2 linked regions of the Danio rerio genome follow. The protein of the gene in region 1 purifies or fractionates together with the protein of each later gene. This does not show direct contact. Links are inferred from orthologs where the notes say so. Each region holds a gene or a part of one and is shown in the gene's direction. Other genes may lie near its edges.

The links.
Region 2: the proteins of ublcp1 (region 1) and psmc1b purify together in Homo sapiens (affinity purification with mass spectrometry; 3 studies listed by BioGRID and IntAct, with this or other methods). This does not show direct contact. The link is inferred for Danio rerio from reciprocal best matches to the Homo sapiens genes UBLCP1 and PSMC1.

Annotation. Positions count from the first base shown.
Region 1 is NC_133196.1:39,013,957-39,017,716, reverse strand, and holds the start of ublcp1 (ubiquitin-like domain-containing CTD phosphatase 1), read left to right. Parts: upstream 1-1,307; 5' UTR 1,308-1,371; exon of another isoform or gene 1,372-1,605; intron 1,606-1,737; exon of another isoform or gene 1,738-1,821; intron 1,822-3,011; 5' UTR 3,012-3,024; coding exon 3,025-3,178; intron 3,179-3,760. UniProt on the Homo sapiens protein: Dephosphorylates 26S nuclear proteasomes, thereby decreasing their proteolytic activity. Recruited to the 19S regulatory particle of the 26S proteasome through its interaction with 19S component PSMD2/RPN1.
Region 2 is NC_133195.1:17,954,663-17,958,150, forward strand, and holds part of psmc1b (proteasome 26S subunit, ATPase 1b), read left to right. Parts: intron 1-2,295; coding exon 2,296-2,447; intron 2,448-2,727; coding exon 2,728-2,882; intron 2,883-3,488.

The DNA of each region.
Region 1 (3,760 bases):
TTTACAACATACAACTCACCACTCTTATGTAGTTGAAAAGGGCTACTTTTCACAATTTCTTTATTTTTTTTTTTTGAGTAATATTTACAACAGATACTTTTTACTGTATTTGCACTATATTTTGGGGCAAGAAATGGTACCTGAGAAACTTTTACCTGTGTATGATTTTACAGTACTCTTTCCACCACTGTTTTGTGCCTTTGTCTTTTTGTACGTTTATCTTTTTTTTTTTTTTTTTTTTTTTTGGGGGGGGGGGGGGGGGGGGTCTTTTTTTGTGGGTTAATATAACAGCTTACAGTTGTATGTGATTCACCGGTTGTGTAATAGAGACATTGGCATATTTTTCTACTAATAAAATCTAGTCAACAAACACTTTTTTTCCTTTCTCTCTCCAAAAAGATAAAAAATAATAATAACAATTTTAAAGATGACTCACCACAATGCTCTTTTGTAATTTTAAATTTGATTCACTGGTATAAAATAACAATTGATAATTACAAGCTGGTTATATTGAAAATTAATGTAAATAATGAATTATTCTTATTTTTGTATACTTAAAGCGAGTTATTAGTATATAGTATATTATATGTATAAGGGGTGGTGTGTGTGTGGGGGGGGGGATTATTATTATTTGATTTCACTGTCTATTAGTCTTGCATCTGTTTTCATGAAAACAAGATATGCAGAATTGAAAACATTTTAGATACTCCTCAATTGTTGTTGTATTAGTATTGTTGTTTTTTTATGTACATTATTAACACTAATATCTTGTCACTGCTGTAACATTACATCATTGTAAGTTCTTTTCATGTGAGCCTACAGGACTACAAAACTTTTTTGTAACTACAATTTTAATATCTATTGATTTTTGACAATAAAAAATATCTATAATTTTGACTCAAATGTATTGTTGGCTATTCCTAGAAATACATCTGTGCAACTTAAGAAATAAAAAAAACTCATGAACCCAAAGCCGAGCACTATTCTGTTGCACACAAACTAAACAGAGTCATTTTGAAATTGGCTCCTTTAAATCAACAGTTTGAATGAACCGATTCACAGAGTCGGATGAGGAACTCGGTGACGCCGCTTACAATGAAACTAATAAAATCGATTTATTAAGTTGCACAAATTGTATATTCAGTTCAAAACACGACAAAAACAAAACCGCACCCTGTCAATGATAAGTACTTAGGAAAACAAAACAACTGCATTGAAGGAGAAATAAAAAAGTACTACACGACAAACTCTTAACCGGGAGGTGGCAGTAAGCACAGTAAACAGGCCGTCATAAACAGATAGAAGAAGAACAAAGCAAATCTTGTGGTACCCAAAGCAGTCAGCCTGAGCTTTGAATGAACTGCCTATTATGTAAGTGAGAAACCTTTCCCTATTCTTCTTCTCAGCGTGGTTTAGATTGTTTCAGGATTAAATGATTAGAGAAATTAACAGCGTCGTTACGACAGCTAGATCACACCCAATTAATGCATTAAGCATGCAAAATAACTTAATGAGTTCAAAAAGCTAAGTAGCTAATACATACATGCTTGTTCAAGCATCAACATTCCACATCCATCCATCAAGATCTCTAACAAAATATGTTCGGTAAAAACAAATAAATTATTTTATTTACACTTGTAGACAGAAAAGATTTGCAAATGTAATATTATACAGTCTACACAGTTGTTTATGAAAGGCTTTTAAATGAGGTTGTTTTTTTTGCTTTTTTTTGTATAGATATGTAGCACCTGACCCATTTGTCTTGTGTATTGACCACCAGTTGACCTCTACTGTTGCTTAAGTTGGTGTAGTGTTGCCAAGGTAGTCTATACATTTATTTTCATATATATATATATATATATATATATATATATATATATATATATATATATATATATATATATATATATATATATGTGTGTGTGTGTGTGTGTGTGTGAGTGTGAGTGTGTGTATTTATTATGTTTTAATACCATATCAGCAGCATTTATTATTAGGGCTGCACAATATATTGATTCATTCATCGATATCTCAATGTGCAAAACTAAAATAGTCCACATCCAAGGATCCCGAGCTATTTCAAGTGTATTTAAACCATTTAGACGCAAAAATGATAAAGTTTGCAACGTTAACAAGGATTAATTGTTTACTTATTTATACAATAAAGTCTATGCCATTTTATTTGATTATTGAATTTCTGTTATGCCACTTTTTACAAGATTTAAAATAAGTCTCTGATGTCCCTAGAGCAGGGGTCTCAAACTCAAATTGGTGGGGGGCTATTTCAGTGACTGACAATTCATAGGAGGGCCCTTTTAACATTCAAGTATAAGAAAAAAAAAGTGGAAACCTGACATAATTGATCTTAGGACAACAGACATGATGTTTATATTTCAAGCATACTAGTGATAATGCAAATCAGCACGTTTATCGTGTCACACATCAGCTGTTGAAATAAATCTGTGGTTGTTGTGTGTATGGCCGAGCATTAGAAACACACTCAGTCATTCTTACACAGAGTATATGCAGCCAAAGCTTTTTGTTACTTGTTGTGTATTGAAGGGGGAGTTTAAATTGCTACGAAAATACTACAAATAATTCTGTCTCAACCAATTGTATTGTACAATAGCGTAAGAACAGCAGAAAATAGTTTGGGTAACTTAAGTGACTTTACTGGCAATTGTTCTTTCAATAACTTTTTTTTTTTTTTTTTGTAAAACTACAACAGAGAGGGGAGAAGTATGTACATATTCACATTTACTTCAACAAGTTCAATTCAACCAGCAGTAAAATTTTAATAATGTACATAGTTTGTGTCCAAATCTCAATAAGCATGTAAGGAAAATCTGTTAAATGAGACCATTTGAACCAAATATTTGCAAAATTATCATACATTGCAATATAAATAATTCTGACTTCAACTGTATATATCGATGTATGTATTGTGCACAAGGGTGGTTTGTGGTTTATGACATGCTGACGTGCAAATAACTGAAAACTGTCCTTCACAGCTCGTCCACCAGCATGTCAGTTTCGGTTATTATCAAGTGGGGAGGGCAGGAGTACTCCATTAATACGCTGTCCGAGGAAGACACTGTGCTGGATCTGAAACAGTCCATTAAATCGCTCACAGGAGTCCTGCCAGAAAGACAAAAGCTCCTGGGGTTGAAACTGAAAGGTGAGTGCCACTGAAAACAGTAGCAATGTCTAATACCCATTAGGAAAATTCGAAAAGTGGAAACAAAATTAAAAAAAAAGATCTTGAGTCATCTTTACACAGAGATTCAAGGTAGCACTAAAGCAGGTCTGGGTCTGCTCGGAATTAAGTGTAAAGACTAGCGGAGCAAAAATACAGATTTTGGTTTGGTTTTCAGTTTTGGTATGCTTGGGTATATGATATGTTCAGTAAAAAACACTGTCAAATAGGTCATTATTTTACATAACATTGATATTGCAATAGCCACATTTCCACTGTCGGGCCAGTGCGACCCTGGGCTTTTATCAAGCCGGCCTATCGTCCGGGAGGTTGAGCAGTGAGGCCTAAATCATGTCGCGTTTCCACTGTCAGGCTAGTAGCTCGCAGCGCGTCATGTAACCGTCGCCCCCAGAACATCCCCCAAATCAAACGTCACACAACCCACCCACTTCAGCGGGAATAAGGCAGATAAAGCACACCATCACACATCATCACGAACTATTAAAATGAAGACAACCGAAACAAACAAATGACACGTTACTGTACAGCAGAACATTATATGTC
Region 2 (3,488 bases), on another chromosome or scaffold:
GTTACCAAAAAATAACAAAATACTTTTTTCACAGTTTTAAGAGCTTTAAAAATAAATTATATATATCTAGTTATTATGGCATGTAATTATTATTACTACTAATTAAATAGTTAGAAAATACTGTCAGAGGATGGGCAAAACACAAAAATAAAACATAATATGCGCATTGACACAAACGACCAAGTGCAAAAACATAAATTACAGCCATGTTCATTCATAATTATGTGAAATAAATCACGAGAGGGTAAGTTTGGTTAAAAAAACTGAAGTTCATTGACTTATGCACAACAGTAAAACAATGCTTTTGCACAACAGTAACACATTGCGAGTAGTAAAGTCTCTTACCTTTGACAGATGTTGTAAATCCGCTGAATAAAACAAAAGAAGCAGATCGCGGATGTGTTTATTTCACTCTCCGAGTCAGAATGAAAATGGCATCTTCAAATTTCCCGCTGGTGCAAAAACACGGAAGTGCGCCACAAAGCGCTAGTGGTCGAAAGTATGCGTGCATGCTCTCTTGTCACACACGCACACACACAGAGATAGAGCGCTCTGTCACACACGCACACACACAGAGATAGAGCGCTCCGTGTCAACATACTTTTTATCTTTGGGCTTTTTATAGAAAGTAGCAAGTCTTTACAAGTCAATAGGCGCAAGTCCAAGTGAAAGTCCGAGTCATTTATGTTCAAGTCCAAGTCGAGTTGCAAGTCTTTTCATATTTTGTCAAGTCGAGTCTGAAGTCATCAAAATCATGACTCGAGTCTGACTCGAGTCCAAGTCACATGACTCGAGTCCACACCTCTGGAAAATACTAAGGACACAAAGGACACATAGCAGGTAAAGTGCAAATAAGGAAGGATTTCAGTAAATTTTAGCAATTGAATTATATTGTTAGCATGCTTGATGCTAGTACATCTAAATATATAACTAATTATAAGCATAGATAAATACAATAAAGCAAAGTAACATAAAATCAACAGAGCTTTCTTGTTTTTTGGAGGAGTCTAATGCTGCGTTCACACCAGACTCGGAAGAAGGCAAAGACGCGAATAAACATTATGCAGCATAATACGTGCAAATGGCGCGGCGCAATGGGGCGGCGTGAATGATGCGATACACATGAAGCCAATTGAGCGTTTTCCGAATTTGACTCACTTAACGCGCGAATCGCTCGATTTGAAAATCTTAACTTCAGCAGGCATTCCCGCCGCGTTAACCAATCAAGAGCTTGCTCTTATGGGGATGTGATTATGACATAGTGCCTGTTGTTAGTGTCCCAGCGGAAAATCCTCCTGCCTACTCCGACAACAGTTCATCAAACTGGGCTCAGCGCAGTCAGAAGCACCGCTAAATCATCCAGGCTACGTTTCTGGAGGAGTTTATGAGCTCACAGAGCTGGGTGCACCACTGAAAGCATCTAGTGGACTCAAACACTGCTCCAAACAAATTAACGCTGTTTTTCAGCATTTATAAAGCACATAAACACAGTAATTTTCTCAATAAAATTCATGTTAGCCATTTAGCAACAAAGCTACAGTCACCAGGCAGACTAAAAGTGAATTTGACACATGAATGAAGCGGATTTGACACGCGAATGAGGCGAGTAAACTCAAATGTTCATGCGTCTTTTTACCCGCGAATATCGTGATTTATCCGCACGTTCCACATCTGGTGTGAACACAGCATTACAGTATTCTGGTACAACATTTGACTAATCAGTTGTTAAATCACACTGTATAGTCTTCATTAATTGAGTAATATAGTTAATCTTTGTCAAATTTACAAACATTATAGTTTCGAGTGTGGCAATGTATTAACCTCTCTTAAAACACATGCAAATAATCATCTTATAATCAACAAACACTCTATTATGGTTAAACTTTGCAGTGACTCCACAGATTACATGAGCCTGCTCCACTAAAATCAACACTAAACATCCTGTGACCCATTTACTTTCAGTGACAGTATTGAGTTACATTTTAGACACAATTTATTTTCTGTTTTGTCAACCAAAATATTTTCAAACAGGCAGATTCAAAACATTTGCATGTCTCAGAGTTCCAGTGTTTTTTACCCAAATAATTTTGTATAAAGTGAAATTATTAGAGTGGAGTATGAATTCACGTGCTATTAGTAGGTGAAAACACAGAGGACAGTATTCATAAAAAAATTGAAAGAGGTAACCTCTTTTTTTCTGATGTGATTGCAGGAAAAGCGATGTGATTTCAGCGATATCAATGCTGCATAGATATATTTGTCATTGACATTCCCTGACTGCGTCTGTGTTTGCAGATACGACTCAAACTCAGGAGGTGAACGTGAGATTCAGAGGACGATGCTGGAGCTGCTCAATCAGCTGGATGGCTTCGACTCGCGTGGAGACGTGAAGGTCATCATGGCCACTAACAGAATAGAGACCCTCGACCCTGCGCTTATTAGACCCGGTATGACATATTTGAGAAATGTAGCGGAAGTCACTGGCTATGTCACTTCTGTTTTTAAACTTACAATCTGATTTGTTGCTGAAAACAAGTCAGAGTGCTCTTTTCATCCAATGACTAATGCCAATTTGACGTATTGAACTCGATCCAATGTTAACCTGATGAGACTCGACATATGGACCTAATGACCTAATGACTATAGACTTTGTGTGTCCCAGCCTTTAGAGCTCATGTGAATTGTAGATGTGCCTAAAGCTGCGTTTCTCTCTGCTTTCTCTCTAAGGTCGAATTGACCGTAAGATTGAGTTCCCCTTACCAGATGAGAAAACCAAGAGGAGGATTTTCCAGATCCATACCAGCAGAATGACTGTGGCCGAGGACGTGAGCTTGGACGACCTTATCCTGGCCAAAGACGACCTTTCAGGAGCCGATATTAAGGTTTGTTGATGTTCACTAGTGGTTCAATTCAGTTCCAAAAGTTAAGGGAACACTCCACTTTTTCCCAATAGGCGTTTTCTTAACAGTTATACATTTGACCCTTCGCTAAGCCCCGCCCTCCTTAGTTACTGTTGCTACGCCTATATTATATATATATATATAGAAGTATTATATAAGTATTATTTTAATATAAATATAAAGTATATTAAACGCAACTGCTCAGTTTGTGATCACATCTCGGTTTTGATCTGTCGATGTGTGATATTCGTAGCTTGAAATCATCAATCATTGAAATATGATTGCTATTAGAATGATTACTATAAATACTAACAATAAATACTACAGAACTGAATAATTTGTTGCTTTTATTTTTCATATTCCATGATAATTTTATGGTAAATGTGTCTTTGCCTTGGTGTAATGTGTCTTGGAGAAATGTGTCTTTGCCTTGGTAAATATACAGTTGAAACCAGAAGTTTACATACACTCTTAAAAAAAGGAACATAACCATTTAAAAAAAAAAAAAGGTAAATCATACTAAATGTTTACTATTTTAGGTCCGTTAGGATTACCTAAATGATTTACACTAGCTAAATGCCAGAATAA